3 linked regions of the Saccharomyces cerevisiae S288C genome follow. Changing the gene in region 3 together with the main gene of any one other region gives a genetic interaction. Each region holds a gene or a part of one and is shown on either strand. Other genes may lie near its edges. The genes, in order: YPS6, RDR1 and CIS1.

What was found.
Region 1: mutations in CIS1 (region 3) and YPS6 together harm fitness more than expected from each alone (negative genetic interaction), as found in Saccharomyces cerevisiae (one large-scale study listed by BioGRID).
Region 2: mutations in CIS1 (region 3) and RDR1 together harm fitness more than expected from each alone (negative genetic interaction), as found in Saccharomyces cerevisiae (one large-scale study listed by BioGRID).

Annotation. Positions count from the first base shown.
Region 1 is NC_001141.2:430,282-434,042, forward strand, and holds YPS6 (aspartyl protease), read right to left. Parts: upstream 1,831-3,761; coding exon 217-1,830; downstream 1-216. Other genes in the region: seripauperin PAU15, read left to right, coding at 3,648-3,761.
Region 2 is NC_001147.6:1,049,129-1,052,889, reverse strand, and holds the start of RDR1 (Rdr1p), read right to left. Parts: upstream 1,601-3,761; coding exon 1-1,600. Other genes in the region: AMF1 (Amf1p), read right to left, coding at 1,832-3,379. UniProt on the Saccharomyces cerevisiae protein: Transcriptional repressor of multidrug resistance genes, such as PDR5. Required for growth on non-fermentable carbon sources like lactate or glycerol.
Region 3 is NC_001144.5:821,626-824,465, forward strand, and holds CIS1 (Cis1p), read right to left. Parts: upstream 968-2,840; coding exon 662-967; downstream 1-661. Other genes in the region: YLR345W (bifunctional fructose-2,6-bisphosphate 2-phosphatase/6-phosphofructo-2-kinase), read left to right, coding at 1-415; KAP95 (karyopherin beta), read right to left, coding at 2,203-2,840. UniProt on the Saccharomyces cerevisiae protein: Mitochondrial protein that is involved in citrinin resistance.

The sequences.
Region 1 (3,761 bases), on a different chromosome or scaffold from region 3:
GGGGAAAAAGTGTGCACTTATAAGGTCGTTACTATCTTTATTGCAGTTAACAGTCTTCGTCATATGTATAATCATTACGCTGTAGGTTTCTTATTTTTATATGAAGCAGTGATATATAACATAATAAAGTTTCATCGCCTTTTACACAGTATATAGGGCTTCACCTATACAGTCCCACACAGTAACACACTGCGAAACTATGTATCTCTTCTCTACTTATAAAAGAAAATAAGATATGAAGGACAATAATGAAAAGGAGAAAGAAGAACGGTATTTGTAACCTGCATTTTGTTTTTTAGTGGTGCTTTCGCTAGAGCCGCCACTACTTGAGAAAGAACTAGCATCATCGCTTTGGGCTGCGGTGGCAAGCAATGATTTGTACTGTGAAAATTCCGAATACGAGGTCCAGCTGACATTAATAAAATCTCCTGTTCCGATGGGACTACCGGGCTTATATACCCATGTACTAAAGTATCCGGGAGCAGGGGTGGCACCTGGGACAGTATCGGAGATAACCTCAATATCTTCTTCTTGATTATTAAAGCTAGCCTGAGCAATAGAAATTTCGTAGTTTTCTAAATCGTAGACTACATATGCGTCGACAAGGAAAGCATCTCCCAGCATATAAGTGGACTCGGATTGCTTAACATTTAAAACGCAACGATCCTTAGCTGATGTTACGAAATTGGATATGTTTGCCGATATATTAAATCCTCCAAAGTCGACGGACAGTAAAGTATCGTTCACTTTTGAACAATCAAAGATGTAGCCTTGGTCGTCAGAGCTGTACTCTCCGTCAAAACTTTTGCCGATTGCTTCTGCAATTTCGGTGGGTAAATAGGAGAAAGTTGTGCCAGAATCCAACATCACTGGAAATTGAATATCCGAAACAGTTTTATTGCCAGATTCACTATCCAAAATTGCCACACTTTGTGCAGTAATAATCATCCCAGGATTTGAGCCAAGGGTATTGAATGCCTGCAGCATAGGCAGGGTGTAAAGCTGTCCTGTGTACTTACTTTTGTCCACTGCACCAAACAAGATGCTCCCGAAGTGTGCATCAGGTCCATTCAAAAATAAAGAATACGCTATTTTATTAATCTTTCCCTGATTTTTTAATTCCATTGGAAAGTTATCATATATGAAAGGTGTTCTGTTCAATGCCAATGCGTATTCGATACCATCTGTAAATTCTGCAATGGGAAGCGATATGCCTAAAATGCCACTTGGATTGCCTATTGTATCATTTGATACACCAAAAGTGAAATCATTTAGAGTAATATTTTCGAAAGAGACAACATCCGTACCATAAGTCCCTGCATAATACGTACCATCTCCGTATGTGTTATTGAAAAACGTCGCATTATTCTCAAAAGTAGATGAGTTGCTTGCATCGAATGTACCCCAATAAGAGCAGAGAGTGTTATAAGCTTCTGATGAGATGGTAGTCGAAGGAAGCCCATTGAACGTTGCTGTGAGCTCGTAATTATCAGTTGAAGCGTAGTCAGATCCGTCAGACATCGATTTGCAATAGGCAATGTCAGCATTATTCACAATCATATCTGAAGAGCCAGTATCTAACTGTAGGTACAACGTTTGTGGAGGCGTTCCGATTTCCATCTTGACAACATACACTCCTATTCCATTTATCACTGTGGTGTTAAGAACCTCATTTCTTTTGAAGACGGTAGAAACATCCTGTGTGCATATATTTATAATATCAGCCAACTTTTGAACAGGAAACTTAACATAGGAACTTGCGGAAGACCCTAAAACGGTCAATGAACACATCAATGATGACAACAAAGAGAGGATGGAAATCAATTGCATATTGATAGCTTTGCGTTGTCTTCAAATATCCTTATTTTCGAAAGAGACAAAATTTAACAACTGATCAACCAATGAAAAAAGAGAACAAGGAAGAACGATGAAAAACCCTATTCCAAGATCATAACACCTTATATACTCTCAACTTTGAAAGCAGTTCCAAAGCTTAAATCCTCGAAGAGTACTGCTTGCATGAGGTTTACGCAACAGGTCTAGTCAGTTTTAACTCCTCGGATATCTCGAGATATTTTGCTGTAGTGAGCGACAGGGTAGCAAATTTTTGGACCCTTAACCCCTTATACAAATTACCACCATATGTTCCTTTTCTGCAGCGAAAACCTCGGTGTTGTCAGAAACAATTTAAGAAAAGCACAGGCGAAATTGGGCTTGCACTGGGTGATCAACAATGCCAGAAATAAATGAGAAGCTTTTTACTCTTGCTTTTGCTTCTTCCTCTTTATGTTCAAGCCAGCCAAGCTATGTTATAGTGTTGAATGTCTTGAACCGTTATAGTTTCTAAAAATAACTTTACATTTTGTTATGCAATCTTCATCATCTCGAACTTTTCAACAAACGTTCAACAGTGATGGTCTTCCCCAGTGAACCAAAAGACATATGACGCTCGTATGGTATGTTAAAAACAACATAGAGGATAGTAGGTCGGGGTTTATTGTAGAAAGGACATAAATAGTTGACGTGGTAAATTTTCATCAACTAAAGCCACATCTATTTTGCCAAGTAGGAGATAATGTAATATGTAGAGGGATCGAGATTTACTGAAGCCTCACGTGAGGGCAATCTGGAATCAGATTGCACTGGTTTGCACCATACCTCTCAAAGAAGAAAACGTACTACTTTTTTAGTTGAGTATGGATAGGGTAGTGTTTCCTAAAGTTATAAGGTAAAAGGGGCAGAGGAAAAGTCGATAATAATTTGAAAGAAACTTGCTTCCATATTCACAAAGGAGCTGGATACTTCATGTCATCCGCACATATATCTACAAAAATTTCAACTTTTTGAGGTTGATACTAAGTCTTTCGCTACCAAAATGAAAGAAATCAATTTGGAGAGACTTAGGCTGAATATTTCCGCGTTCTCTCTGGGGATGAAAGATTTCTTACTGCAAAGAGTTTCAGTATTTACGGATTGGTTACAATTTTTTTTTTTTATCATAATCAATTCTTTGAATATCAACTTCTCTCAATACCATCCGCCTCTCAGCGGCTACAATTACGTAATTGCACCAAGGCCTTCGCCGAGAGTTTACATATTTGCAGACCCTAACAGTATACGACTCCCAACACACGTTTAATGTTGTACGAATTCAAGAGATAGAAATATTTCTTGCATGGAAGCCGTTTAGAGCAGACTGAATATGGGCTTAGACAATAAGCTTCTGTACGAGGGTCCAAATCTAAAATTCGGATATTCTTTTTGACCGAAAAAGGAAATGTCACAGGCACAGAAAAGGGTTTTATAAGGCACCTCGGCACCCTATAATTGGCATTCCCACATTCTGCGCATACGAATACACATGAGTGCCATAAAACAATACTCCACATACGAAGTCTATGAAAGATGTATGATTCGTTCAGAAACAAGGTCATCTCCATAGAGATAATGAGATTGTGTGAAAGATGAGATATGGAGGATATGTGAGGTGCTAAATGAGCACCTGTTAACGAATCGTTTAAGTAGTGATGACTGATGAAGGCATGGGTATAAATAGAGCTGCTTCAACTGTATGTCTTTGAGAATATGTTTTTATTCCTTTCTTTCCTGTTAAGCTTATATCAGCACTAAAAAACAAAACAAATATAATGGTCAAATTAACTTCAATCGCTGCTGGTGTCGCCGCCATCGCTGCTGGTGTTGCCGCTGCCCCAGCCACTACCACTCTATCTCCATCTGACGAAAGAGTTAACTTGGTCGAA
Region 2 (3,761 bases), on a different chromosome or scaffold from region 3:
CCCAGTCAATATCGAGTAGGTGAGTAGTTTCAAGATTAGATCTCTGGTGAGTTGCCTGCTCAAGCTGCTGAATTTCTTGTCTTTTTTTTTTCATGGAATCCTCAAGAAGCAGTTTTGCGGTCTTTTGTGCTTCAAAAGCAATACGTGTACCGAGAATTTGAGTAATATTATCTAACGTTTTCATGGCAGTAGCAACATGTGAAAGACTTTCCGGTGTGTCGATGGCAAGAAGGACACAGACGTACTGGAATGAGGTGCTCAACACATTCCACCATGCTTGATCCAGTTTTACAAGAGCGTATGCTGCTGATAGCGCAGTGTTGCCGATATCAATTATTTGTAAAACAACATTTTTATCAAGAATATGATTCAGCAAACGAAGTCTTCTATACAAAGAGAGGCATATATCACCCTTGGTCAACGACAAAAACGGATGTGCGTTTGGTGATTCATGAACGGCCGCCAGGGCCTGCAACAATTGCGCTGCGTTTGCGTTCACGCTGTCTTGGGGAATCAGGTGTGCTAACGCGACTAAATGAGCTGTAAAATTACCGTCCGTCTCCTTAACTGGCTTGCAAGTAATTCTATTCAGCGTAACACTTGAGCGCCCATAGTCATATGAAAGAATGGTATTGATTGACCATGCACACCAAAATAATCTTCTAGTGTGTTCGCTCACTACAGTAGTTCTTTTTGGTGGAACGTTGTTCGATATCGCTATATCCTCTCTGTCAATCTCATGATGCAGGCCAATTGCCTCAGAAAGATGGATGGTTACGCAGCTAGCTAACCATGCTACATGGGGCCTCGAAGTGGCTCGCAGGTAAATGGTGCGCAAAACCCATGCGGAGACTTGCTCCACCGTGGGAATGCGACTGAAAGTCGGGTCATCAAGGATCCCTTTGGCATATTGTACTATATCCATCTCTCGGGGATGGCCAAGACTTCCCATAAAAAATGATCCTAAAGCTATCACCCCTGCAATAACAGCCCCATACTCTAAGGTTTTTACGTCGCCATCCCAGTATTTTTCAACATTCTTTGCCAGTTGCTCTGGATTAACAACATCAAATATCGGGTGAACAACTGAAAAATAAACTTTTGAGATACGGTAATACTCTTCCTTTGTAACTAAATCAGAAAGAAGGACATGTGAGTTTGGATTTTCTTCCGGTCTGATTCCGCAATGCCAAGCGAAGGAATGTAGGCGTGGAGGATTAGTTGATCGGAGTTCGAGACCAAGACAGCGGGGGAAAGCAACTGCAGAGTGCTGGATCGTGTACCTAGACTTAGTTGGATCTACAATGTTTTGACTTGTAACGTTCTGTGTATTTATAGGCTGCGGTTGTTCGTTTCTATGTATACCCGGAAGAACAAAAGGTCTGCTCTCCGTATCAGGAGATGTTTCACCTACTTGTTGCACTTGAGGTGATGCCGAAGGGACACGACCGTCAATATAATGACATACATATCCATAGGCAACGCACATTTCACATGGAGATTTGCCATTACATTTCCTTTTACGTTCCCTACAGGGCACGCAAGCCTTTCGGACTCTTTGTCGCTTGTGTGGTAATGCTGTCGATCCTGGGGATGCCATTTGGTGAGCTTAAAGTAGGAAAGTGTGCGCTAAGTTATCTTACTGAAGTTCTTTCAGGTTTCTACTTGAAAAAATAATGTATCTTTTCACTCGAGAATGGCCTCTTGTAATTTTCATATTTATCGCACGATACGGGATATACTGGCTCCTCTCTATCACTTTGATCGTACTATATTTATTTCTATTAGTTTGGGTTATATACCACGATGAAGTATTTCTCTATATATGAACTTATTCTATAAAATGCTGCTTTTCGGAGATCCTTTTTTTAGACTTCATAAAAGTGCTCCATGCATACGTTGCTGCGACAAAAATGCCAAGTCCGCTCAACCCGATGCCCATGTACCACGAACAACGATATCCTTTCAAAGGCTTGGCACCTCCGTCATTTACTCTAGATTCAATTGTACCTGCAATACCCAAACCTATCGATATCGAATAGTTTACCACCGTATTAACCAAAGAGGCTGCAAGACCTTGATGTTCGTGTGGCATCGAGTCACTAAGCATTATTGTAGCGGCCGGAAAGGACATGTCCATTCCCCAAGGCATAACAATGATTGACACAAACGTTTGAGCCCAATACGTTTGGTGAACGGGGGCCGTAGCAATCAATATAGTTCCGACTGTGAAAGCTGTCATCGCAAAAAGCATAACTGTGCTTGGGGGTGTATGGCTTAGAAGGAAACCTGTCGTCACGGCTGCACAAAATCCACTGATTGCTACAGGTGAAAACTGTGCACTAGAAAGAAGGGGGGTTTGGCCCCTTGAGTCTTCCATGAACTGCCATGTATAGAATATCCAAATACCAAAGCTGGCCCATCCCGCAGCTATGCAGCTAAGTACAAAAGCAGTATCACTAGAAAGAGCAGCAAATGGTAGCAGAGGGAAAGCTGCTCGGGACTCGATATATGCAAAAATAACCAAGAAAAAGGTACCAACTATCAAAAGAGCGTATGTGTATGGAGTTTGCCAACCCACAACGGGGCCTTGGTTCCAAGCGAAATTAAAGAGAATTAATCCAACAACGCCGGTAACTGACCCTGCAAAATCGATTCGTTCCAACAACTTGAAAGATGAGGCATCGCGGCTTGGCATGGGGGTGTGAGGGATTACAAAGTAACCTGCTACAGCTAAAACAAAGCATGCAATACCCATTATCCAGTAAGCCCATGGCCACCACGCCAGTTGACCCAACATGGATGAGAAAACAGCCCCAAGGAAGAAGCCACCAGGTGCTGAAGCACCAAACAGACTAAAGACCATGTTTTTTCTTCTTCCTGGCTTATATGTGCGTCCGAGAATCGCAATGGCATTTGGCAACAAAAAGGCCGGACCCATGCCTTGAAATGCACGACAGCAGTCAAAAAAAATCTGATTAGAGTAGACGCTAAACCCAGCAAGTAAGGACCAAAGTGCGTACCAAAAGAAGCCAAGGACAAAGAATTTCTTGTGTCCGAAGATATCTCCGAGTCTTCCAGCAATTAAAATGAATGTACCAACAGTTAGCGAATATGCGGAAGCAAACCAACTAAGTTGTCCAGCATTCGTTGTTCCAAAACTGTTACCGATGATGTGAAGCGGCGCTAATGATTGTCCAAGTCCTGCCTGAGTCATTAGTTGGGCAGAGCACAGCACTCCGACAAAGGCACTCTCCCATAAAAGGGATTTAGGCCTCTCATCCTGAATATCAAACTCTGATAATACTTTATCCTCCTTTTTCAAGGCTTCCGCGTTTGTATCCAAGTTTTTCTGCGTTACGGAGGAGCTAGTTGACATATTGATTTTATGTTCTTTATGTTCCAGCAATTGATGAATGTACAATATTTGTTTTCTTTTCAGGTAGAGAGTGAGATAGAAGTAAGTTTCCACAAATGAAGTTATTGGAGGCTAGATATACTACTCCCTTGGTATTTAAAACTGCTGCCAAATCTCGTTTATTTTAATCCCTACCGATAGCTCATCATTGAGAGCTTCCGCAATATCCGCACATTTCGTGGAGCGCTTCACGTGAAAAGAGTGGCCCATTGAAAAAAAAGCTGAAACATTCGTAGCGACAACCCTGGCGACAAGCGTGGCGACAACCGCAATAGCCGCCACAGCCGCAATAGCTACACATCACCTTTTTGGGCTTAAAGTGGTAGGTAATTTTGCTTGGCGC
Region 3 (2,840 bases):
CGATACTGCACTCTTTTTTTCAAAAGAAGGTATTAAAGTTCAGCAACGGTCAGAGTTGAGACAGTTGAACCCAGGAAGTATTGCTGATCTTACTGATCAACAGATAATGGACAAATTTCCATCAGAATATAAAGAATCATTAAAAGACCCATATCATTTTCGATTCCCTAGGGCGGAATCTTACCATGACTTAGCCGTTCGTATGGAACCTTTACTATTAGAAATGGAGCATACGAGCAAGGACATTCTCATCATTGCACATGAGTCAACATTAAGAGTATTATATGGCTATTTAATGGCTTGCACCTGCGTAGAGTTACCAAATCTAAATTTCACAAGAGACAAATTAGTTGAAATTTCATTCAGCCCTTTCTGTAATACTGTAGAGTTACTGAACATTCCTTTAACTAGCTAATATACTGGAGTTGCATCGTTGATGTGTATTATCTATATTCAAAATAGTTATTTTTATGTTTAAGAAAGGATTAAGAACAATTGAAAAAAAATTACCATTAGCAACGAATATTAAATTGTAAATTATTTAGAGATATTTTTCTATAATATGCTCGCCTACCATTCTCTTTTATACAATATTTAGGTTTTACCTGGAGGCTAAAATGATATGAGGGGACGATAGCTTAACATGATTGTGACACAAACTTTAAAAAAGGCTTTCAGTTGAAGAGTTTTCTTCCGCTATAGTCTCCAATGCTATCTTACTTTTCTTATTACGTTTATGTCTACCTTTCATATCATTTCTTGTAAGCAACTCCTGCATTTCCGCTTCCTGGGCAGCCTTGAGTAAATCATATCTGGTAATTTTATCAGGTTTATTGCTCACATATCTGCCTGAACCAACAACGTTGATATATTTCCATGGACATGCTACCCACTCTGCAATAGTGGAAGCTGAATTGATTGTGTTTTTTGAAACTAACCCGATGGGACAATTACTGATCGATTGCATTATTAAAGGTGATAAATAATCCTTTGTTATTTGTGCCCCTTAAAATTCATATACACTTTATGTTTAATTCGACAGGTATAACAGAAAGAAACAAGGAAAACAATGCAATTAATCATTAACTGCACCAACTTTTATATGAATATATTGTGCTACATGTCTTAATTAGTCCTCTGTGAATGAGCATCACAAAGAATCACGAGGAAAAGATTGATTACTTAATATTGATAGGAATCAGCCGCGGAAATGGAAATCTTGGTAATATAATTTTAATGCGGCACGCTGAAAATTGATGGCGGCCTGCTAGGAGCCCTATTGATTCCGCGGAAATAGGCGGATTATTACAAACGTTGAGCATTCAGCAGGTGCGGCTGTGCCTTTTCACTTTCAGCTAAGATGTTTGCAAGCAAGAATTAACAGATAAGCCGCTTCGCTAGTAACGCAACTCATTGTGTTTTTAATGGAAGCTAAGGATGGTTGAAATTATGGGTACCCTGAGATAAGATTATTAACTATGATGTAAGTATTAATCATTATAATAAGGGGTACCTGCTCATTCGCATTACCATACATTGACTATTAACGAGCAGAAAGTTTTTGGAAGTTTTGCAGATGAAGTGCATGTTTGATAATTTGAATATGCGGATTTCCTTATTCAAAACTTTCTTTATGCATAGAGCTAATTAGGTTTGAGTTAAGGAAAAAAATCTATCATAAGTGTCTTGAGGTATTTACTATAATGTATACGGGAAATATTAGGTGTGATAGGCTCTAGGAACGAATATTAATATTGGGGGGGGGAAACTGGAATGAAATTAAACAAAAGCAAAAAAATCTAAAAGAAGAAAAAAAGGAGAGAGAGAGAGAGAGAGAGAGAGAGAGAGAGAGAGAGAGAGAGAGAGAGAGAGAGAGAGAGATGAGGGTTATTGATAATATAATATAATAATAAAAGAGAAGATAGTAGAAAAGGAAGAAAGAAAAAAAAAAATTAAGATGTACTTTAATAAAAAGAGGGAAATTCTAAAAAGTGCGACTGGAATTAGAAGAATGCAGGTATTTTGTTTTCTCTCCTATGACGGAGAAGGTAACAAAATCATAAAGGTAAAATAACAAATTAATTATGATCAAAGAGAAATGCCCTTTGTAAACCGTGGTTTGTAAATGCGTTGGTAACTGCAGCAGATGTTAAGAAACAAAGATGGAAAAGAACCAAAATCAGCTTGTAAGTTCTATCGTAATTATAAGGATAATTGACGCTTCTGTTGCTCTCTAGCCCATCTTGCTGTATCTTTTGTGGCTTGACTGAACAATTGGCCACTCCTAGTTCTTTTAATGTAATCAATAACCCAGTCTTGTCCATAAAATTGTTTGATTGAGCCGTCTGGAAACATCGCTGCTATATCACCAATCAATCCGACTGCTGCTCTTGAGGTAGCATCCTCACTGTACAGCTGAGGATCTTCTGCAACTTGTGCAATGAACTGGAATATAGTACCAACATAAGGGAACAGAGCTTCAGGTTTATCATGAAGACCCGCTACTATACCCACATAAGCATCTAGTACTGCTTCTAGTACTTTTATTTGATAATCAAGGGCTTCTAATGTGCCGTTTTCCGGCTTCGTGTTTTGGGCAGCAACACACAACGCCATGATGTCATTCAAGTAGGGAATAAAATCAGCACCTATATTGGAAGCAATATCACCGAACACGCTCAAGACGGCTGGTTTCAACTCTCTCCTTGCATTTGGATTAGAGATCATTTGAGCCAAGACATTCATCATAGCATCGGAATATCTTCTGAAATCTTCTTCTAACGAATTTGAAATATCAGCGATGAAGCCCACTGCGGTGATTGAAACTGGCGAATCTACTT